4 linked regions of the Drosophila melanogaster genome follow. The protein of the gene in region 4 interacts with the protein of the main gene of each other region in a pairwise test. Each region holds a gene or a part of one and is shown on either strand. Other genes may lie near its edges.

The links.
Region 1: the proteins of asl (region 4) and Sas-4 interact in a two-hybrid assay, tested with the Drosophila melanogaster proteins (3 studies listed by BioGRID).
Region 2: the proteins of asl (region 4) and Cp110 interact in a two-hybrid assay, tested with the Drosophila melanogaster proteins (2 studies listed by BioGRID).
Region 3: the proteins of asl (region 4) and Cep97 interact in a two-hybrid assay, tested with the Drosophila melanogaster proteins (2 studies listed by BioGRID).

What each region holds. Positions count from the first base shown.
Region 1 is NT_033777.3:7,149,450-7,154,758, reverse strand, and holds Sas-4 (spindle assembly abnormal 4), read right to left. Parts: upstream 3,393-5,309; 5' UTR 3,352-3,392; coding exon 1,507-3,351; intron 1,456-1,506; coding exon 595-1,455; 3' UTR 540-594; downstream 1-539. Other genes in the region: MAGE, read left to right, coding at 1-393; gfzf (GST-containing FLYWCH zinc-finger protein), read left to right, coding at 4,129-4,593, 5,127-5,309; CG2656 (uncharacterized protein), read right to left, coding at 3,561-3,708.
Region 2 is NC_004354.4:22,480,773-22,487,971, forward strand, and holds Cp110 (centriolar coiled coil protein 110kDa), read left to right. Parts: upstream 1-1,622; 5' UTR 1,623-1,768; exon of another isoform or gene 1,769-1,892; 5' UTR 1,893-1,964; coding exon 1,965-1,978; intron 1,979-2,066; coding exon of another isoform or gene 2,067-2,069; coding exon 2,070-2,250; intron 2,251-2,314; coding exon 2,315-3,754; intron 3,755-4,464; coding exon of another isoform or gene 4,465-4,479; exon of another isoform or gene 4,480-4,629; coding exon 4,630-4,863; exon of another isoform or gene 4,864-4,974; intron 4,975-5,170; coding exon 5,171-5,302; 3' UTR 5,303-5,312; exon of another isoform or gene 5,313-5,348; intron 5,349-6,285; 3' UTR 6,286-6,686; downstream 6,687-7,199. Other genes in the region: l(1)G0196 (lethal (1) G0196), read left to right, coding at 6,895-7,017.
Region 3 is NT_033779.5:3,866,157-3,871,949, reverse strand, and holds Cep97 (centrosomal protein 97kDa), read right to left. Parts: upstream 4,254-5,793; 5' UTR 3,969-4,253; coding exon 3,962-3,968; intron 3,571-3,961; coding exon 3,410-3,570; intron 3,347-3,409; coding exon 2,889-3,346; intron 2,833-2,888; coding exon 2,474-2,832; intron 2,408-2,473; coding exon 2,147-2,407; intron 2,078-2,146; coding exon 1,901-2,077; intron 1,861-1,900; exon of another isoform or gene 1,826-1,860; coding exon 1,396-1,825; intron 1,329-1,395; coding exon 761-1,328; 3' UTR 525-760; downstream 1-524. Other genes in the region: CG31957 (uncharacterized protein), read left to right, coding at 81-397; TTLL4B (tubulin tyrosine ligase-like 4B), read right to left, coding at 4,726-4,881, 4,964-5,793.
Region 4 is NT_033777.3:5,602,736-5,608,502, forward strand, and holds asl (asterless), read right to left. Parts: upstream 3,809-5,767; 5' UTR 3,712-3,808; coding exon 3,595-3,711; intron 3,539-3,594; coding exon 1,706-3,538; intron 1,641-1,705; coding exon 606-1,640; 3' UTR 501-605; downstream 1-500. Other genes in the region: SecS (Sec synthetase), read left to right, coding at 1-195, 255-430; Rga (regena), read right to left, coding at 4,638-4,857, 4,949-5,113, 5,218-5,422, 5,715-5,767.

The sequences.
Region 1 (5,309 bases), 1.5 Mb from region 4:
CACGAGCTGACGCCGGCTCAACGGCCGCAGTTCACGCTGCTGTATATTATTCTCATGTACATCTTCCTGCGCGGCAACCGCATCGAGGACTCGAAACTGTACGTTATGCTGGAGATGCTCAACATCTATCCAGACGAAGAACATGGCTACTTCGGCCCCAATCTGCGCAAACAGATCGAGGAGACGTTTGTGAAGCAACAATATCTGAAGCGGGAACGCTCACAGCTAAGTGCTTACGATGATTCCAAGACTTTCTTCCTTTGGGGACCACGTGCCAAGGCGGAGTTCACATTCGAGCAAATGGTGCAATTCGCCTCCAAGCTGCTCAATCAGCATCCCAAGGTCTTCGGCCATCACCTCTCCATGGCCCAAGAAGGAGTAAACGCGGAGTAGAATACCATTCTATGAATAATTTACTACATTTGATCTAACAAATTGAAAACCAAACAATATATATAATAATCTAAAATAGAGCCAATTTCCCATTTATCAGCAAGAAAAGAATATTACGATGATCTTTTAAAAATAGCACGTCTTTTCTATTTATCTAAAACTTAAGTTAATTTACTTAACAACGGAAGCAGAGACCCGACTCTAATACTTGGCATAGTCTGTGTCCATTATGAGCTTGCCATCCTTGTCCTTCAAACGAACGCGGCCGTTGGAGTAGCGCGTCTCTTGGCTGCCATCCGGATACACTAGCTTCACAGTGCCGTCCGGATACTCCCTTCGCTTGTTTAGTTTGGTGTGAATCTCCTTTTGGCCATTGGGCAGATTGAGAATCTTGTCACCATTCCGGAGCTGCACTAGATGGGTTCCATCCGCATAACGCCACTCCTCCAGTTTCTCCGTATCGCTGGGATCCACAATCTTAATGCTGTTGTTGGGAAAGTGAATCTCAACAGTGCCATCCTTGCGGCGATGTTCCGTCTGCCCGTTGGGAAACTCGAGTATTTCCAAGCCATCTAGGTAGGAGGTGTGCCAAGTGTTGGTCTCAGCGTAGTAATACTTCACTGTGCCTTCCCTGATGTTAGTTTCCTTGATATCCTTGTTGAAATAGAGCATGCGCAAGTTCATGCCATCGGCGCTTATCTTTTTTAGATTGCCGTTTGGGTACCAAATGTCCTTGCTCCCATCCGCATTCGTAATCTCCCGCTTAAAGTCACTGCTGGAGTTGGCAGCCGGTGGGGGGGTAGCAGCTTTCGGAGCGGTCACGGGCGGCTGAACTTCCTCCGATTCCACAGAACTACTAGAGGCGTAGCTCTCATCCAGAGCGTATGGTGTTTTCTTATTCCTGCTCAGTGAGCGACTCCGACTTCTCACTTGGGCACTGCCGCTACTCTGACGACGGTTTTGCGCCTCTCGCTGCTTGGCAGGCTTACCAGCAGTGCCGTCCAGAGATTGGGTGCGCCGACCGTTCTCATCGAGGATATCGGACATTGTCGCGGAAGGTAACTAAATGAAGACATTAGTTACATTACGATATACACACAAGCATGCACTTACCACTTTGGGGGCAAGCCGGGCTATGTTTCGATTGATCTCCTGCAGCATCTTGCTGTTGTTTTCGCGGCCAATCTTGACCAGCTCTTGCTCTAGGCGCTTGTTCTCCTTGCGCAGCAGCTCGATCTCGTCACGGTAGTTTCGCTGCTCCTTCTCACTGGCCCGCAGTTGAGCGCGGAGTCGTGCCTGTGCCGAGACATGCGCCTGCTCCTTTTGTTTGAGCTGGAGTTGCAGTCCCTCCACTTCCTGTTTCAAGGCGGCTATCTCCTTTTTTTCCTTGCTGTTTGCATTGCTCTTTTGAAGTCGCATTTGCTGCTCGAACTTGCGTCGTTCCTCCTCAATCTTCATGCGCTCGTCGTGCAGATAAATTTCAGCTTGAATCTTTTCGTCATGGACGCGTTCCATGGCCTCCATGTGATCCTGTGTGCACTTTGCCTTCTCCAATTCGTGTTGCTGCCTCAGGCGAAGGAGTTGGGCATTCTGCTCCTTGAAGGTGGCTATCTCTGTCTCCAGCTCTTCGAGGCGAGTGCGAACGAGATTGGCTTTCTCCTGAAGATCTTTGGTTATGGGTTCGTCTGACTCCTTGCTGGGACTTGACTTCTTCTTCTGTTCCAATGCCTGGAAGAGGGCGGACTTGAACTGTTCAAAGAGCTGAATATTGGAGCCGTCGTTGAGGCTGGTGGCATCGGAGTACTCGTGCGTGTCATTGGAGTCGGAGAAACGCACTCGCACTTTAGTATTCCCCACCTGGATGGGTGTCATTGTGAGGGTCTGATCGCTGGACGGTTCGGTGTCCTCCTCGTCCCCCTCCTGCAGTTCCTGCACCAGCATCTGGTCCACCTGTGGCTGCAATCGCATCTGACGCACCTGCTGTGTGACTACAATGTGATCGGAGTCATCAGCTACTCGGCGACGCTGATCTTTGCGCGCCATAAAGGTTCGAATGCAGCTGGAGTTCATATCAATGTTTCCCTCAGTGGCCTTCTGCTCGAGCAGCTCGAATATGCTTACATTGCTGTCATCTTCCACTCGGATTTGAGCAGAGCGTCTTTGGATTTGCGCTGGCTTTATACTCTGTGTGTCCAGCACCTTGGCCCAGCAAACTCCTGTCATGGGACTAGCTTCCGAGGAGGCTTCATCATCGGCATGAGTGGTTTGTCCCGCCCTGCTCTTCTGCTCTACAAAACGAACTCTGGGCGAGGTGCTCGAGGCGGTTGTGGAGGACGCATAGGAAGACTTTAGATCTGGAGTGGAACTGCAGGCGTTCTTGCCGATAAGCATCTGCTGAAAGCGCTGCTCGTTGAGATCGTCGAGCTGTGCTGAGGGTTTGGGAGCTGGTGGAGGCGCAGGATTGGGAGGTGACTTGACTTGCTTCTTGAGAATACCCTTTTTCATTTGAGGCGTGCGGAACTGAGGGTGGGCATTAGCGAACTTGTATCGCGGCAGGTTTTCCAGGCGCAGCTGGTCGGGATTGATCTTGAACCGCTGCTTTAGACCTTCGCCGCGACGCAGAAAAGGGCGTTTAGGCTTGGCCGGCTGGGGATCAGCCATTGAAATCTCTGGCTCGTGCTCGTCCGGATCCGCCGCGAGTCGCGGCATTTGTATAGAGTGCTCCTCGTCCCACTCCTCCAGCACACTGTTTTCATGGCTTTCCGTTTCCTGGTGTAGCAGTCCCAGCATTTTGTACATATTACGTTGCTCCAAGCCGAGCAAAACGCGGTGATTGGACTGCCGCTCCTGCAGCAGCCGCTTCTGCTCGTCCTGCCAACGACTAAGCGCCGCGAGACGCTGTGCGATGGCCTCCTGGCTCAGAGGCATTCCAACAGGACTTTCGCCAGCCTCCTGCATGCTTTTATATTCGTTCTTAGAATCGCAGTTTTGTTTAGACGCCGTACGCGTAGGGGAATTTAAAATTACGGCAGCAGTTGTCCAACACTGTACCAGTGGCAACTCTGCGGTCAGGGATGGTGCTAGACATGCATTTTGATTAGATTTAATTTTTTATTAAAAATAAAATATTGTACATTTTCTTAAGCAATATGAAAAATTGATTTTTTTCAATCCTGATCCCCTTCCTCCGGTTCATCAAAGTCCTTAACGTTCACGTCTGCATCCTCGCCGTACTGCAAGATACTGTCAATTTGTAGCAGAAGATCGCCCACGCTCTCCTCGTCCTGGGAATCCAACGGGAAAAATCTCACCAAACTGTAAGTGAATAATAAACATCAATATTTACAATTTTTGAACGTCACAAAAATAACCGATTTTGATAAGTGGCAACGCCACCGCATAGCTCGCAGCCCTCGTATCCCACACAAAAGCATTTTTCGACGCGTCGCAAAAGAAAATGTGCTTGTGCAATTAAAATCGAGTGATAAAAACCAAATATAAACCCTTTTAGTGCATCAAACTGCAATAAATCAGTGCGTTTGGGTAAATGGCCGGCGTTTGCAAAAAGGCGCGCAAATAGTGAGCTGACGAAATACCACCAAAAATCCCAACCAACAAATCCCAGGCAGCCAGCCACTAAAAAAATCGCCTAATTTACGATACAAAACACTTTTCGAGGGCAAATCGAAAAACGCTGAATTCCGGGCTCGGGCCAAACAGCGCACCAATTCAAAAATGGAGACGCCCGTCGAGGAGCACGGCATGGACCTGACCAAGGTGTCCGTGGTGCGCTCCGCCAAGGGCGTGGATATGCTCTGCGTGGACGACTATCTGTACCACTTCGATCGCATCGGGCGGAATAACACCTACCGATGGCTGTGCAACAGGCGCAAGGACAAGTCCACTCCCTGCAAGTCCCGCATCTGCACCATGCTGCCCGATCCGCTGGACAAGACGCGCCACGTCGTCGTGGACGTCGTTCTGGCCCACATCCACCCGCGCTGCAGCGATCACGAGGTCAACAAGGTGGCCCAGCGCAAGCGGCTCTCCGTAATGATGATGAACGACGCTTACAGCACCACCCAGCCGAAGAGAGCACGCCTGTACGAGCGCGCCAACGCCGGCATGAATCCGCCGGAGTTCATCTACGGAAGCATCGACACCTCCACCGTGGAGGCCTCGTTCCAGTTGGACTTTGAGGTACGGCCCCAGGCCAACTGTACCTGGCTCATGCCCCTGAATACTCAACTCAACCATTTATTTAGAATCTAGCTGGGTCTCTTTTTCAGAAAGAACATTGATATTAATATTGATTCATATTTCGGTAACCACCGCTACTTTGAACATTTGATAATGTAAAAAAAAGGTTAATTTGCTCACCTTAGTAATGAGATGGTTTCCCGCCAATTTGTTTTTTATATTTATTTTCCTATTTGCAAATCCACCGGCTAGGCCGTTAAAAGGACAATAAATACCAAAGCTTAATCATTTATGATTCAAAAAATACTATATATCTCCAAACGAAACTAAATATTAGGGATTTTTGAAAAAAATGGGACCCAATCATTTTATAACATGCACCCTACTGAAGGGAATATCCAAGGGAATGAAATACTTTTGAACTTACACTTAACTTAATTTTACACCTAAATAGATTTCCCATGATGTACCATTTTTAATTCATATACAATTTTACAGCACAAAAATGACTAACACGAACTCTAATTCCGCAGGACAAGGATCGTGTGTACATGCTACGGCGCCGCGACGGCCGCGTGATGGTCTGCATCGACGGGCATCTGTACTACCTGGCCGGGAAATCCTACAAGGGCGACATATTCCGATGGACCTGTGTGCGCAAGCGTGACATTGAGTGCACGGCCAGGATCTGCACGGAGGCGACTTTGGCGGGGGCA
Region 2 (7,199 bases), on a different chromosome or scaffold from region 4:
ATGCCAGGTTCTGGGTCAGCTGTGCGCATGGGCAGAGTAACTGTTTTCGGTTTGCTCTCTTTGCTTTCGTCCTTCCCCTCTTTTATACCATCACTATGATTGCTCTTTGTTGAAAATCCGCGACTACTGCGTAGAAAATAAAATAACAATATTTATATGTAACTGTTGCATGAGCATTATTTCGGATACATGGCAATTTACCAAAATGTTTTTGTCATGTTTTTCTGGCTTTTGAGGCCCTGTCTCACTCACACAAGCGCACTTGTTTTCACAAACGTATACCGATTAAGAACAAAAAAAAACTCCGTAGTTCAGCATGGAAAAGGTGTCATTGGAACTGCGACTTTTCCACCAGTGATTAACCATTTAATTCGAAATACTTATTTCATCAACTTATTCCCTTGTTTTTCATAATTTATTGTCGCCGCCGTTGCTGTTGTTGTTGCTGTTTGCTGCTTGGCTTACCGGCTGTGTGCGAGTGAGACAGCAATGCAGCGTGGGAGAGGACGAAAGCAAGCATGTGGAAGAGAAACAGAGAGCGAAGCGCGTGGAAAAGTTGTAATAATAATAATAAGAACGGAGCCAAACACTAACGCCCAACTGAGCAGCAACAACAGCAACTACAGCCATACAAAACGTAAAAAACACCAAGTTGTTTGGCCTTCGATGTCTTTTTCAATTGCGTCGCAGAATGAAACACAAAAAAAAAAACAATACAGAAACACCACACTCAGCGTGTGTATGCATATGTACACATATATGTGCGAAACTTTGCGCTTTTTGTTTTTGTTTTCCTTACACTTTTACCGTATTTTTATAAAGGAAAGGGGCTAGGAATAAAGTTAGGGGTAAAAATTACTTGTATTCTACTTAAAAAACAAAGCTGATACTGTTGAAAAAAAATTGCACTCCCATCTCACGCACACACACACGACTGCATCTACAATGCAACTTTAAAGAGAGAAATCTGGAGCAATATAAACCGCAAATAGTTCATATTTGAAGTACAAACTCAGTTTTGCGGACGTTCTTTGCAAAAACGGTTTTAGATCGTTTTGTAACTAGATAACACACACACATAACATATGCAAACAGAAGTTACGAACACAACATATCGACAAGCTGTAATAGAACTCGCATACTTTTCGCTATAGCTGGTGACTTTCGAAAATATTATGTTGACTCCCGAATTCCAGGCAAATTCGATCGCGCCAGAGCAACAATCAGCGCAAAAAAACACATCCAGTGAATGTGACCGCGCGCACGGCGAAGGAAAATACCATCCGGCGCAAATCAAATACCAAAATGTACCACACCAGTTTCGATAACCACCTAGTAAACTGTTGAATTCGGCCAGCTGTTTCAAATTAGTTTGTTAAGAACCAATAAAAGTTAAGTTTTCGCAGACAATGTTTCTTTAATTTTGACAAGATTTTGAAGCATACGAAATATACAATATAAGTTCCTGAACACTAATTTAATCCACCGTTTTCTTTACTATAATTCTGGAAGGACTGAAAACTTGTTCCTCTGCTAATCTGTGGAGTCCTCAAATTTTCTCTAAAAACGCTACTTCCAAAAGTCCGGTTATCGATATCTGACGTCAGGGCTGCATGGACTTCGTGTGAGTTTTGAATTGCCGTTTGAAAATAAATGTTTTCCCCAGCATTAAAGCAGCATTTCTCATTGGCTCTTGATGGTAGCTGCGATCCACGGTAGAAACATTGAATACAAAACTCTCAACGATTCGGGATATCATTTGATTGATGTAATGAACTCTTCAGAGGTTTCCTAATTTTTGGCGGGAAGTCGAGGGCTCCCTAGTGCCATCGTCATCTCTAATGGCAACTAAAACATAGCAGACATTTAATGAACTTTCACAAAACACCTAGATTCAGCTGACCTCTGAGAAGGCTTCCTGACATTTCGACGTCCCAACAAAAATTCCCAGTAGCAAAACACCAATGGATGCGACGTGGTGAGTGGGTCTTGGGATTTTATGAATCCCGGTTGCTTACGGGCTTCTAATTACTGATTTTGCTCAATCTAATGCTTCTCCAATTAAGCAGGGCAATGGAGCAGCTGCTGTCTGCAGTTGAGATGGGAGGTAGCCACAGCGAGGCCACCACACCAACGGCCACGACCACCATATCGATCTGGAGCGCCCCCTCCGAGGGCAGTGGCTCTAGTTCCATGGACCCTGTCTCCTTTCGGTTCCACTTGGACGGGCAGCCTATACTGCCACCGCTGGTGATTTAAATTCTTGGTCAGGGAGTGGCATTTACTGAGGCGTAACCATTTTACTTTGTTCCAGATGACGAGCGCCAAGAAGCGCGAGGTGCAGCTGGCCCGCCAGATGGCAGAAGCGCTGGAGAAGCGGTACCGCCTGGCCAGACACTCGGCGGGATCCGACATGGCCAGTAGGAGAAGTGTGTCACAGCTGCAGCAGACAGAAACGTTAATCTATGACAGCACACGGGGCCAGGCTCGTCCTCAGACTCTGGTCTTTGGCAAACAGTTGCCCACCATACAGGTGGATCCTCCCACGCCTCAACCATTTGTGAAATCAATAGAAAACACTTCCCCAAGGCGGCATAATCGCATTACCGATCGTATCCTGCAGTTCGAGCAGTCGGGACTGGGTAAGCTGCTGCCCAAAGTTCCAGATAAGTGTATCCTGCGCACAAGTCCTGCGGTAGCCGAAGACCAGCAGGATCAGGATACAAAGGACACAACGGCAAGGGAGCTCGGCAGTCCACTGGCAGAACCAGCTAATTTTCAGCGTTCGAGAAGTTTCACACTAGAGGAGCCCTCCCAGGTTCTCGTGGAGCACATGGAGAGGGAGGCCCTGGCTGTGAAACCCAGCCAGAGTTTGGCCAACTTCGAGAAGCAGACCATCGAGTCTCAGGCCAAGCGGGTGAACCGTAGTGCAAGGAGTATTAGCAGCAAAATTAGCCACAACAGCTACAATAGCAACAGTAGCGCCGCAACCAAGAGCACCATCGCCACTAAAACCACAACCGCCGGCAGCAGCTGTTCTAGGCGGGATCGCGAGGTGGAGCGTATAATAGAACGGGCGCTGGACGAGCATGGCGCTTTGGAAGCCAGCCGCAAGGCAGGAGTGCGCAACTATCTGCGTGGCCATCGGGAGCGAATGAATCAATTGGTCATTCACCAGGAGAAGGAACGTCGTCGCATGCAGGCCGAGTTTGATCATCAGCAGCGTCAGCTCATAGAGGAACTGTGTGCCGAAATTGATGTTTCCTCGGCCACCGAAAATCCTGACAGTCTGATATCGCAAAGCACCAGTACGGGAGACCTGCAGCGTTTTTCCCCCTCGCCTACGTTACCCTCCTTTTCAGAGGACATAGAAGACTTTCCGACGATGGAAGACAAGTGCCAAATTGCGGGGCCTTCTTCCGCTCGCAAGAGGCTGTTTAGTCCAAAACCATCAAAGGACTCGGAACCGCAGCTGCTCAGTGCCCCCAGCACACCGCGATCGTTGCCCCTCCGGAACAGCAGCTTAACCAATAGCAGACGAAGTGTCCAAGTTGTCCGGCGCCGATCGCAATCTGTGGGCGGTAGTCTAGTAAAAACAATCACCGCAGCAGACCGCGAGGTGAAGAAATCGCCAGCGAAGCCTGGAGGTGGAGCAGGACGACCGAAAAGTTCCCCGGGAAAAAATAGCTCCATTATAGCGAAAAGGGGAAGCGCCCCACCAAAAAGCGCCTCACCGACCAAGCGGCTGGGCAATGTAAGTTTTTCAAGCGAATCTGAGCGATATTTTATTTGCTTTAAGTCACAAAGGTTTTCATTTGTGCCAACCTAAGTTAGCAGCTAATTTGGTTGGACTCTTACTTTAAATCTCTGCTATTTGACCTTTCCTTTTATTTAACTAAAGCATTAACGATTTTTTATTTATGGTCCTCTATTTTTATACCCGTTACTCTTAGAGTAAAAGGGTATACTAGATTCGTTGAATAGTATGCTACAGGCAGAATGAATCGTTTCCGACCATATAAAGTATATATATTCTTGATCAGGATCTATAGCCGAGTCGGTCCGGCCATATCCGTCTGTTCGTATGAACGTCAAAATCTCAGGAACTATAAAAGCTTGAATATATGTTGGATATTTTTCACAATTTTATTAGACATGTACATTTCTATTGACATTTTTAATTAATTTTTAAATTTTTTCTCATTTTATTCCCAATTTTGTATCGATATCCCAGAAAAATTATGATGAAATTTCTAGTTTGCATATCCACTAGCTGAGTAACGGGTATCTGATAGCATTCTTTTTTGCTTTATATTGATATTGATATTGATATTCTTAGCATAATCACTTAATATAATAATTAGGTATTTTATCCCTAAAAAAGTGAAAACCTTGGCGATATAATCTGTAATATCTATTTCCTGTACTCCCATTCTATTATTTCCTCTTCCCCAACACAAACAGCGCAAGAAGCCCTAGCAATTCGGGTAGTCAGTTATGCAAGTGCCTTAACAAAGACTGCGAGGAAATCGAGGGACCAAGCCTCTAGCACCAGTAGCTAACCTAATTACTAACCCAACTAGCAAGTGCCTTCGTTCCCTGTTTAATTTCGCCTCTAATCCCTGCCAGAAATATGTCGAGCTGAAACAGGAAGAGCGCCAGTGGGCGGCCACACGTATTAATGCCGGTGTGCGAGGATTTTTGGTCCGCCGGCTTTTTGCAACCGAGCAAGTGCAGCGCATTGTCCAAACCATCAGAGACACCCTGATCTTCGTGTTGAACCTGCACCTGGAAACTTGTGGACATGGCCTGGATGCAGAGGAGCCTGCAAACTTGCGCCTCAAGGCGCGATTGCTTCAACAGGTGGGTTACTTGGTTACTTGTCTAGGTGTAAAAGGTGCCAAATGTGTACATTAGGCTTGGATGATAAAACTAGAAATTAATTATTATCTGAGTGAAGGGTATGCGATAGTCAAAAAACTCGACTGCAGTGTTACCTACTGTGCTTACATTGACTTTGGTTTAACTTTGAGTAAGCAAAACCAAAACTACTGGTATTTTAGAATAATTAATGCGATTTTATATAAATATTTGATTTGAAATTGCCTTGTTTGCAAACTTAATACAAGCTGACTACTTTTTCCTTTATATTCATTGAATTAACTCATAGCTCTGCTCCGCCAGTCGTACCCTGCACCTGATCTTCTTCCAGACCAACATAAAGGACCGCATGGAGATCATCGCTCGGGATCGCCAGAGGATCAAGACCAAACTACTCCTCAAACATCGCCGATTGGATTAGGATTTCATAGGTTAGATTGCTCGAATAAAGGAGGAAACGATAAACGAAGCATTCTTGTTTTAACTAAACACATTTTTATTAAGTTTAAGTTTTCTGGTTCCACTTTCTCTCTATACATTTTTACATTTTTGTACCCTTTTTGTACTCTACGAGTAAATGGGTATACTATATTCGTTGAAAAGTATGTAACAGATAGAAGAAAGCGTTTCCCATTATAAAAAGTATATATATTCTTGATCAGGATCGCTAGACGAGTCGATCTGGCCACGTCCGTCTGTCATTACGTCCGTATGAACGTCAGGATCTCAGAAACTATACAGGCTAGAATGTTCAGATTTATCATGCAGCTTCCAGAGACATAGACGCGATTTGCCAAAAAACTCTGCCACGCCCACTCTAACGCCTAAAAACAGCCAAAAGCTGTCAAGCCCACACTTTTGAAAAATGTTTTGTTTTTTCTACGTTTTTTTGCTTGTTTTGCCCATTTCTATCGATATATAATAAAAAAAAACTCCCAAAACGGCGTTTGGCCCACAGCGCCCACAACTCGAACCATTTACATATATATTTTTTCTCATTTTATTTCCCAACTTTGCGTTGGCATATTCATTAGCTGAGTAACGGGTATCTGATAGCCGACTATAGCAATCTCTCTTGTTATTATTTAATTTGTATTATGGAATATATATATTTGAGCTGAAATGGAAGAAAATATGTATATGTTAATACTTAAATATTAAGTATATTTTTAAATATTAAATATTAAAAAAATATTAAAATAATATAAAATTTAATGGGTAGATTCGGTAGTATCCTTAACTACATACACAAATTAATTCTTACGATTAATAAGCAATTCTAACAAACAAATATACATACTAGTCGCAATATTGAACTGAAATACATTTATATACTTATTTTTGGTTATATCTCTCTATTATCTTTTTAATACCTTTTAATACCTTTTCTTTCTTGATTTACAGAACAGCTGTTTGGCAAAAGCCCGCGTGATTTTTTGCAGCCAAGCTTTCAAGACATTGCGGAGCTTTCTAGACAAATTCGCCCTGAAAGCTGCGGCGGATTGCCAAAACAAACGGAACTTTTAAAGCGAGTAGTCGTGTGTGCGTGTGATGGCCTTAAAAGAAAACAGCAAAGGCAGACAAATAATCAAAAGCGAGAGAAAACTAGTTTAATAACAATTAATTATTAGTGAGCACGTAACCCACAGCAATTGGCCGACCTCCCGCTCATCCTGTTATTCACCCAGCTGCCCGCGTGCCTTGCCCACCCAATTCCATAATTCCGCCGGCGGCGAATTTAGAACGACACACCAAATTGAAAAAATAATAATACAAATAATAAAACCACACCAATAACAGATTTCGTAACTCGTAAATCGAAGGACAGTGAGAGAAAAAATCGTTAACAAAAATATAAGCGCACACTTATATTTTTAACACGCGGCAAAGTTGCGTGCGTGGGGGTGAGAGTGAAAAATGTAAAAACAGAATACGAAAAACGTTTCCCAGTGTTGTTGTTTGCTCCTTGTTTTGTTTGGATAACTCGCACTAACACCAACACAAAGGATTACCATGTCCTACACCGAGTTGGAATCAGGGTACCAGGATATATCCCAGCAGCATCAGCAGCAAAATCCGCATCAAAGTCAGCCGCAGCAGCGGGTCGGTTTCTACTTGGGATTACAGGATGGCAACGTATGCGCTCCACCGTTTTACCACTAAAATCTAGCGTAACCCACTAAAACACATAATTTTTTTTATTTGCATACTATATGTGCTATACATGCACGTATTTATTTTTAAAACAAGTCAAATCGATTTTTATTTAATTTTAAATAGTGTTTTATAAGAATGTGAAATATAAAATTATGAGCATT
Region 3 (5,793 bases), on a different chromosome or scaffold from region 4:
AAGACATGTTGAGATAGCCCATCCCAACTCATTTCATGTTGATACTTAATAATGAATTTGTATCCTTCTGACCCTTTTAGTTTCGATGCCCAACAAATTCCGCAAGAGCATGTGGGTGAAACGTGGCGACTTTCTGCTGGTCGAACCGATTGAGGAGGGCGATAAAGTCAAAGCCGAGATTTGCAAAATACTCACACCCGAACATATAAAGGAATACACAAAAGCTGCAATTTGGCCGGATAAATTCACAAAGAAACCTGTACAGGAGGAAGCCACCAGCCAAAACAAAGACGACTCCGATTTCGAGGATGATCTCCTGCCCAATACAAATCGGCCTGTAAATCGCGATTCCTCCGACGAAGAGGAAGATGAGGAAACATCCAGCGAAGAGGACTGAACGATGTACAAACACACACATAGTTAGGTTATTTACAAATTTGTCAAACTTAATTAAAAAAAAACTGTTGGTTAATGCTGGTGTTGTTTTTGAACAAAATCTGCCCGCAATCAAGAACACCTTTTGTGCTTTACAAAAATTTGTATTTACGATTTGTTCATACTATTGTTAAGTCTTCCACCATCGCTGCATCTCAGGAATGTAACAAAGTAATGTGTTTGTGAATGCTGGTGCTACTTCTAAGTTCTCGTAACCGATCTAATATTGTTGCAAAAGCTACACAAAAGCCTAAGAAAGGAATTAATAAGCGCTGAGATCGACCCTTAAAGCGTTTATACTCCTCATTTATTAACTGGGATTTGTTCATGGATCTTTATCAAGATTTTCCGAGTCTTCTTGGGTCTCCTTCAGGTCGACATCATTCAATTCATCGATTTTGGGACAAGCCAGAGCAGCTTCGTGCTTGGATTCTAGGGCCAAGGTTGAGGGCCTTGTTTTGGTGAATGGAAAATTGGTGAGGTCCTCTATTTGCGGCGTGTGTACGGCAATGAGGTCCGTCTGAGTGGAGCTGCAATCAATGATCTCGGCCTGCTTCTTAATAGCGTCCTGCGGCAGATTGCACACCATTGTGAGGCAGTTGACGATGGTTCCAATCGAGCTTTGCAGCATTTGAACCTGATCGGTGAGCATGGTGCATCTTTTCGCCAAATCATTTACCACGGCGGCTGAATTTTGATCGAGACTCAGGTGGCCAGACCCTCCGCCATTGGAGTCCTCGCCCTGTTCCGCAGCAGCAGGTATTCCCTTGGGATCCACCTCCATGGTGGACACCTTTTTCCACAGCGCATTGATGGCCTGCATCTGCAGCTGCTGAATCTTTCGCTCGTTCTCGAGCTGGGCCTTCGTAAGTAGCATATCCTTGCCGAGTTGTCTGAGGAATGCGACAGATAGAGCATTAGAAAGTTGCGATATATGTTGCCTAAAACGAGACCACCTACTCGATATACTCCTGTGTGCGTCGTCGCTGCAATCGCTCGGCTATGTCCTTGTTGGTCTTCTTGCGTGTGTGATAGCCTCGCCACATCTTTTGGATGGTAACGGCCGAGGACTCTGTCACGTGCTCGATCAGCCGATCCTGGCAGTTCAGGTTGTTGTCCACCTGCTGCTTCAGCTGCTCCTGATGCATCTGCTGTTGCTTCTGAGCGGCCATCTTCCGGATTGCTCTCAGTTTCTCTATGTTGATTTGCTCGCCGTCGTCGTCGGTGCTGAAGCCACCGCTATCGGCCAAAACAGCCGATTGCTGGAGTTTCTCCGGTGCCTGCATGTTGTCCGCGCTGCACTTATTGGCCATCCTCCGTGGACTGCTCGTAGGGCTTTGGTTCCTCTTCAGTTGTGGACTTCGCACTCTTGGCAAGTTCAGTTTGTTGTCTGTAGTGTAAATGTGTATGTATGTTTTAGAAATCTGTGTCGTTTTAAAAGTCTAGAGTAACAACTACTGGCTACCTTTATTTTTGTTGATCTTGGTCTTGTGCAGCTGAGGGTTCAGTGCCGTAACCGTAACTCTTTGGGCCACAGCGGCGGGACAGACATCCGGGCTCATCAGAGTCTCCGGAACTGGGACCATTTTCGAGGCAGCCGCCAATGGACCACCAGATGGGGTTTGACTGATGAACGTTTGATCTGTGGAATTGTTGTTTACTATTAACATCATTTTCCACTCTTGCATTGAATATATTTTAATTGTCATACCATTGTAGGGATTGGGTGTTATATTCCGTGGCGTGGACTCCGTGGAATTGTATGTCTTGGTGGTCACGCTGCTGGACATTCCGCTGCCGGCCAAACTAAAGCCTTCGCCATCGTTTTTAATGTTCTCAATGAGCGAAATGCTCATTTGCAGCGAATGATTCGTAGATCCATTGTCGCTAACAATGCTATTGTTGCTGCTGTTCCCGTGATAGCTATTCACCATGGACTCCGGTGATCCCTGGCGGCCACTCAAGCGGGAGACTTTAAATCGAAGACAGAAAAATATAAGTTATATGAAAAAGCATAGATAGGGAGTTAATAACTTACATCTGGGCGACTGAATGCGACTCGTGGGCTTCTTGCGATGGGATGAGGGCGAAGTGCTGGCAGAACTATTTGCGTTATCCATGATCTCTTCCTGCAGCTGCCGCTGATGGTGTTGCGCCTTGCTGAGGATCAGCCGGAGTTTCCTATCGTTTTCATTTTCCAGCGCCTTGCCCACCAGCGGGCACACAGAACTTAGGTATTTTGCCAAGCCCTGCTGCTCGCCCACACGGAACTGGCGACCACGTCCCTGGCTATACAGCCATTCGGCCTTAAGACTCTCAATAGGATCGACCACAAAGCCATCGATGTACTTGAGGCTCATGCACCAGTTTAAAACAAAAGGTCGGTAATCAAAGCCACTGCAAGAGATGTTACATTTTAAGCGCAATCCATATGATCCATTAAGCTAACTCACTCCAAACTGTTGATCATGGTCACACAGGGATTATCCGCAATGGAAATGCTCAGCAAGTTGCTCAGATGCGACAGCGTACAGATCTCGTTGAGATCGTTGATGCTATTCTTGGCCAACGTTAGGGTTTCCAGTGAGGTGGGCAAACACTTGTCGCACTGCCTCAGATGCGTCAAGCGATTTCCGTGCAAATATAGCTCCTTGAGATTGCGCAAATAGGACATATCCGAAATGCTGCCAATGCTATTATCCGCCAGATTCAGGCACTCCAGATTGACATTCGTGTTCAGATGCTCGATGGTCTTGATGTTATTCCCCTCCAGATTCAGAACGCGCAGATGGATGCATTCCTTCAGGCCCTCGATAGAGAGTATGCCATTGAAGGACAGATTCAGTTCACGCAGGCAATGCAGCCGGCAGACGCCATACATGCGCAGCAATTGATTTCTGGCCAAGGAGAGCTGAAATATTTGAATTTCTGTTAATTAGGAACTTGTTTCTTTTCGCAGAACGTTGCAAGTCACCGTTTCAATTTTGAGATACGAGTCTATGTTGTCGATCTTCTGCAGCTCGTTCTCGTCCAGGATGAGCTGCCGTATGCTGTGCGCATCGTCCTGCTTGGGCACCTTCTTCAGCTTTTGCTTGGACAAGTTCAGGACGTGCTTCTCCTCGCCACTTTCGTCGCCTGTTTGGGTTAACAAAGCACAGTGGGTAGAAACTAAGGTTTACCACTTCATACTTATTATGCATTAAACACAATATCAGAATTATGTAAAACAAAAAGCCCAAAAAGGAAATACATAATGCAAGCTTCACTGTATACGTGTGCATGTTACAAAATTGATGACTTCATCGAGGGGTCCGCACTTTTCAAGAAGTTGGAGAGGAGGTCAGGGCGCAGGTGCGTCCTTTTTAGCCAGGACCTCGAAGCCCCCGGCCCGCTGAACATTAACCCCAACTCCCCAAAAGCAGACTGCAAATTCCCATACAGTCAGCACGCAAATCCCAATCCCCGCAAATCATATTATTAGTTACTAATATATAGTGCCCATTCTTGCATAGAACTGGCTTCTTACCACTCATTTTTCTGATTGGCAGGCCGAAATTCCAACGCTGCGGTCAATTTTTTTTTAATCAGCAGATACTTAGCGAAAAATCAATGGGCCACTCTTTTTTCCACGCAGTTTCAGATTGGCAATTTCCCAAGTGTGCAGCTCAGCTGTTCCACTTGCAGTCCTTTGGTTTCAAGCCGGGTTTATAATTCAGTCCACGCCATGATTTGCAAACTTAATTTTTATTTTAGCGCCGTGCAATACAGTGAATTTTTGTTTATTGTTATTATACTACGTCTATCGATAATTGGAGGCGTGATGTCGTTATCGGCAGCTTGAAAACTCAAGACTGCGCCGCTAGTTATCGATTGCACTTCCTTAGACTTATCGCAACTGCCAAAGCCCGCGTAGTTCAAAAAGCTTAGTACTGTGCTGAGCAATTACCCAATAAGAAAACCGATACTCTTTACAGTTTACAGTGTTCGCATAAAGAATAAATAATAAGAACTAAATTTAAATAAAATATTTATTTTCATAATTTTTTTAAACACCCCGTAGTGTTTTATATTTACTGAAATGACGTGTGATCCAATTTCTAGCTGGATGCCAAAACAGGCTATTGCCACCAAAGACGATCGAAGTTAAGTGAATTTACTGAGCGGATACAATTCCGGAGCACATCTGCACGGGATGCTGGCACAGCTGTGAGCTGGTAACGGAAACGGGAATGGAAATGGCAATGGCAATGGAAGAAGCAATGGTGATAGTGCTGATAGTTCGGTTCAATTTCAGGACTTGATCTCGATGCAGGCATCCGGAATCGGCGCCACCTCGCAGCCCTCCTGGACAACGGGCTTAAGTATGGCCAGCGTGGTGGCACCGTCCAAGACCTCATCCTTTCGCACGTGCAGCATATCGATCTCGGTAAGTGCAACATTTGGTTCCTAGATAAGAAATATGACTTGAAAATGGACTACAGAAGCGGTACGGAAGGGGAAATTCAATTGAATTGAATTGATCGTTCACCTTTTCCATGGCGGCGTCCGACACCTGTAAATGGTATTTGTCCCGGCAATAGCGCGACAGCAAGGCAATGCCCATTTCCCTATTCTTGGCGTACTTCGTCTCCCAGGCGTCCAGCAGGCGATTATAGTACCGGGCATTCTCGACATAGCGCAGATATACATGTGTGCCGGCGGTGGGGAAGATCCGTTCCAGCGGCTGACACCTGGCCAGCTCGTCCTCGGCAACGATCAGGCAACGGACATCGTCCGGCAGTAGATTGTCCAGTATGGTATCAACGTACTCCTCCCGGAATTCGATGCTCCGATTGGTGTACTGGTTATGTTTGCGGACCTCCTCTGCAGTCAGGCAGGTGGTGAAGATGCGTTTGTCATGGCACAACGGACCGGTCAGATTAAGCTCCTCCAGGATGTCCGCCTGCTGACGTTCGTTCAGCTTAGGCGGCACCTGATATAGAGCCGTATTCAGCACGGCCTGAATGAGCGGACCCTTCACGTGCAGATCCAGTGGCAATTCCGAATGCAACGACGGCGATATATTTATCTCCAACAGCCAGGGCACTAGATTCTCATCCAGGAGCACATCGAAGCCAAACAACTCGAAGCAATTGTAGCGAAAGTTCACATTCTGGCGGTACATGCGATTCAATCCCGATTCCCCGCTCACGATGCCCTTGATGACCAGATTCCGTAGCGTGGCCCACAGGCGCTTAGTGTTCACGCCACGATTCTCCAGGCAGGACCACAGCGATTGAAGCGTCCACTTGTGGCCCTGGCAGGCATTGAAATCCTCGTTCTTCGCATAGTTCTGCGAGAACTTGTTGATGCTGTAGT
Region 4 (5,767 bases):
CAGAGCCACGCGGAGAGATTGTTATAGACAGCAGGTTTAACTCCATATCCTTGGCCATAACATTGGCCACTTTGGCTGGGGATCAGATGAAGAGCATCACCAAGCTTGGCTCCATGCTACACATGCGTGGAGTTTCCGGAGCAAGAGTGATAGTTCCTGGCCAAAATAAAACTATAGACGGGCATGAGTTTCTAGGCAAGTAATATTCACTATCGTCTTTGTTTTCCGACTAAAATTTAGAATATTTCGCTTAGATTTCGGCTCCCACCGCAGCAACCTGCAAGTTCCGTACCTGACTGTAGCGGCAGGAATTGGAATAACCCGAGAGGAGATTGACAAATTCTTCGACATTTTCAACAAGTGCTGGAACCAGATTTTTCAAACTAAAAATGAAAAAATTATGAGCCTACTAGAAACAACAATCAAATAAAAAACCTATTTTTTAATATTAATGATAAACTTTCACTTTTTTAGCTGATTTTTATAAGCACAATTTTGTTAGGAATGTACAGCGACTTTTATTTGTTTAGACAATTTGGCAGTGCATGCAGTAACGATATCCCACTAAAGAGACCTACATATACATATATATATTTTCCTAAGTCTTAGCTGTGACCATTGCCTTTGGGCTTTCTATTTGAGTTGGTGATTGGGTCGCTGCTGCTATTGCTGGGCACGTTCTCTTTGTCGCGGTGCTTCTCCCGACTCCGCCGCTCCAGGTGCTGGTTCATGGTCGCCTCGATCTTGGCGAGTGATAGCTCGTACTCGTGCTTAATGCGCTCATACTCGCGTTTCATGTGCGCCTCCTTGTCCTCGGCATACAACTTGTAATTGTGGGCGGTACGCTTGGCACTTTGATATCGCTGCTGTGCGGATCGCATCGCCTCTTCGTGGGTGGAACGCAAGCTTTCCAGCTGCTGGCGCCAGTGGTGTTCCACCTGGTCGACTGACTGGCGCTGTTTCTCCCACTGAGCCATCACAGCCTTCATAGATTGCCTTTCGGAGTCGATGCTGGCGTGCTGCTCCTCCACTTCTCGGAGCAGTTCGGCAATTCGCTGGTTCTTCGCTTGCAGCTCCTGGCGGCACTTCTGCAGCATTTCCTTTTGCTTTTCTTCCCTGCCGGCCAGAATTTCATCGATATTCTCGCGTTCTGCCAGGATAGTTTGCTTTAGAAGATCCACCTCCGTTTGCCGCTGTTGCAGCTCTGCACACACCGTTTGGTATTCCCTTTGGAGGCACTGGCTCCTCTCCTCAGATTTTTGCAGCCGGTTAGTAAACCTCTTGAGTTCTGCTGCAAAAAGTTTGGCCATCTCATCACGAACACGTTGTTCGATCAACCTTATCCGATTCTGGGTGAGCTCTTTGGGCGATGGATCAGACGGGGAAACTGAGTTTGATTTCGGACTGGGCGTACACTTATTCTGCTGCTTATGCTCCTCTTGCTGCCTAATGTACGCCTCGAATTGCTTGGCCCTCTCCTTAAGATCGCTAATGAGCTCGTCCTGCTTGTTTGAAAGCTCGATCTTTTCCTGCATCTCGGCTTGCAAATTTTTAGACTGCTCCAGCGCGTGTTCCAATTCTTTCAGTTCCTTGGCCTGCATTGAGTTCACATTCTGGAGTTTCAACAACTGAATTTCCGCCTAAAAACCGTGGTGATATATAAGATTATTTAGTTTACTAGCATGTCTGAAAGGTTATCGCTTACCTTGGTAATTTCTGCTATGCTTTCAATGCACTTGCTGCAGTTTTCGGAACTTTCTTTGGCCACCGCAACTGCTTCTTCGCGCTTTTCCCGCTCGCTCCTTTGGCGCAAGGCCTGCAGATCACGTTCGTGGCTGAGTTTCTCCGTTTCCAGAAGCTTTTTTAGCTCCTCTGATTTCATCTCCGCCAGCTGCAAGTTTCGCTGAACAGTGGCCAAGTTTTGGCGTTGATCCTGCAACTCCTTAAGCGTGTCCGATTCTCTCAGCTTTCTCAATTCATAGCCTAATGACTCTTTGTCTGTGGCGATGTCAGAATAGAGTTTCTTAAGCCGCTCGACCTCGCTCTGGGAATCCCTCAACAGAATCTTGTGGCGTTCCAGCTCCAAGCGCAGGTTGTCTGCAGTTTCTCGAGTTCGCAACTGCCGATTTTCCTGCGAAAGCTGATCGTAATTTCTTTGAAGGCTCTCGTTCTGCTGCTTTAGTTGCTCCAGATCTTCTTCAATCTGCTGCCGTTTTTCCCTTAGTGCATCCCTCTCGGCCACAATGGAATTCAGCTGTGAGTGCACATCTGACTCCTGCTGTGATCTGTGTTTTTGCTCTTCCAACTCCTGCTGCATTGCCTTCACTTTGTTTTCCAACCGCATTTTGCCTTCGTTTAGGGTTTCCAGCTGAACCAGGGATTGGTTCTCCTGGTCGCGCAGCACGCGCAGTTCCTGGTTGCGTTCCTCCAGGAGCTTCTCTAGGCGTCGCACTTCTTCCCGCTTGTTCTTCAGGTTGCCCAGAGCTCGATACAACTCCTGCTTAATGTGACCGACTCTGTCTAGAGGATTCAGCGGTGTGCTACCAACAAGGCGCGATCCACCCATTTGACTTAGCCGACTAGTAGGCGATTCGTCCGCCTGATGCTGTTGAATAACCGAATCTATCAGGTCAAGTTCCGTGGTGGTTTCGTTTAGGCGCTCATGGAGCGAAGCGACTGTTTGCTCCAAATAGGCAATGCGGGCTTTCAAGTCAACGATGCACTGTTGCTGCCGACGATTTTCAGCCTGCAAATCGGGTCTTGCACTTAGTTGGTTGCAGCGCATTTGGGCCTCATCCAAAGCTTGACTGAGCTCGTTAATCTTGGCAGCCTTATCTACGAGCATTGTTTCGTGACCAGACTGCAGAGCATTGTAGCGCGAGTTTATCTGATCCAACTCATTTTGCTTGCGATCAAGCTGATCCTTCATCTGACAGAGTTGCTGCTGCAAAAGATCGGACTGGGCTCGGTGCGCTTCCTCCATTTGCTTTAAACGTAGGTCGGCGTTCCGCTCCTCCCACTTCTGCTTACTGGCCTGCACCATGTCGTATTTGCTTTGGACGTCCGTAAGCAAGGTCTTGGCGGCCTCTAATTGACCAACTAATCGCGTGTTATCTTCTTCCAACTGCTTCTTTTCCGACCGCAGCTTGTCCAGATCGCTGTCCTTATTGGAGCACGTCTCTTTGGTCTCCACCAACAGCTCGTGAGTGTTCTGCTTCTCGCGAATGGCGCGGTCTAGCTCAGCCTGCATGATGGATAGGTGCTTTTGTAAGTCATCCAGTTTTTTGTGCGCAGCGTTGGCCACCTGGTTGACATTCTGCAGCTCATTATTCTTAGACTCCAGCAGGATCTGGAGGCGATGCATCTCGATCTCGTTGGCTCGCTGAGCATCGTCCTGCAGCGGTTTATGGTGCGGATGTGATGGGTAGTTGGGTAGAACTGGCGGCTGTTCCAGTTCCGACTGGTAATTCGTCGTCGAGTCGATTGTGTTCTCTTCATCGAGCAGATCGTCGAAGGCATTCACCATAATCCGTCCAAGCTTGCGTAGAATTGGAATCGGTGACATTGTTTACCAGGAATTCCCAGATCGCTTACCTCTTCCTCGCGTCGTTTCTGATCCTGCAGCGCCTCTTCCTCCTCCTGCCGGTCCAGTGTAGAATTTATGTTAAGGGCATCCGCCCCCTGAAAGAGGCTTATACCTGGCGTGTTCATATTCGGCTAAGGGGACGCCACAAGCATCAAATTCAAATAAATTCCGAGGCGCAGGCGCTATTTTCGTAGGCAACTCTAATTTTCTTCCTCTTGCTTCTGTTGACACTTTGACATTAACATAGTAACGCGTGCTGTTAAGTGCAGTAAGCGCTTCTGTAGCGAAAACATTGCGTTCACACTACATACAGTCTAGAAGGGAATTAGGTTTTTATTCTATACTTGTACATAAACTGTAATTGTTAAATTTAAAAATAAATATTTTCCCAAAAAGTTGCCGATATGTCGAAAAGATTGTGGCCCCGACAATAGACCTGCCAGGCATACACAAGCTTGAAGATGATATTGTATGTATGTATTATCATGCCAACTATGGTTCCGTCGTATCATTGATAGGGGGAGCTGTTGTGCATTGCAGAATGCAGTAGATTTGCTATTGGAATATACATACATATGTATGTCGTGTTAGTCCAGATGACAGGTATGTATTTTCAGACACGGCCAGTAATTTTTTATAGGATCACTTTATAGAAAGAATTTCTTCTACCTTTCAAATACATTTCAACGAATCGAAAAAATATAACTTGCTTTTTAATTTAATGGGAGTCCGCTCATTTCATAATATCGAACAGCTAAAAAATGTTACATTTCAAAGATATTCTAAAAATATGAATACCAACTAGACTCCAGCAGGATAAAAATAAATCGCTTTAAATTGTTAACCGGCAATTTGTACCAGAATTTGCACATACATACATATGCATATATGTATGTATATATATCCTAACACCGTTTTAGAAGAAAAACTCAAATGGATTGTTTTTAATTTTTATAATAAAACTTATTATTCAGTTAGTGTTGAGTGTCCTTGTTGCAATGCAAAAACAACAGCATACTTTCTTTTTCAATTTTTTTCATTTTTATTAATTTTATACAGACTGTCCATTCATAAACGCACTTATATTGGGACATTTATCTAATTTCTCGGGATCTATTTGGAAAACCTTGGACAAACGTTTCCAACTTTGCGCATCAAAGTAGTAGAAGGTGCCGCGCTCTTTTGTACCATTTTTTTCATATTGATCAATGCCAGGAATTCGAGTTATCCATATTTTCTCCTCCACGTGGTATCGCCACTCGCGACTATGCCTGCGATGGGAGCAGAATTTTAGTATATATGTATGTTCTATATATGTTCATACGAAGCTTAGATAATAGCTACGCAAGAGGAAGTACTCACAATTCAGCAGCTGCCATCAATTGCATCATATCGCCGATGTTCGTGTAAAAAAGGAAAAAGAGCAGGTCTTCTTGCAGCTTTTTCAGTACCGGCGCTGTTAGTTTGTCTCTTATCGCAAAGTTAATCAGATATTCGGGTGGCACGTTGAACTCAACGTCTTGTGCTCTGAAAAAAGTAAATGCAAATCCAATGTTACTAATTTGGTACACCTCTTACTCAATAGTACTCAATAAGCAATTAAATTATGTAAGTTTATTATGTAAACTGACCTGCAGGGCTGTGCTACGAAGGGGCCAGCGAAGGTTGTATGCAAGCTCTCCTGCGAGTTCAGGTTCAGGCCTAAACCCGTGAGATCCGTACCCAAGGAGAGCGTCACCAGATTGGGATCCGTTTCTGCAGCCCGAATGAACGTCAGCAGGCCAACCATGCCGAACTGGTTGTTCACCATGGTCGCTGGTATGTTTGTGACCTTCCCTATTTATGCAAAACGAACGAAAGGTAAATTTGTTACATTTTTAAATAAATAAAATATTTCATGGTACTATTATTTCTGGATAAAATGGGTCAAGGATAGTATAGCTGTTGGGCTTTTGTGATGTACACCGAAATCACCGAATTATAATATGAAACAAATAATAATAGAAACCAAGAAATCCATTGATTAAATGGTATCAATCATCCATAGAGTGTTCAATTCAAAGCTCCAAATGATCAAAAGGTCAAAAATAGCTCTCTCACATGTTGTGAGAAGTGTTCCAGCACTCACCATCTGGCGAAGTTTGCACGCCGCTCTTTACAAGTTTATCGTTGCTGGAATTA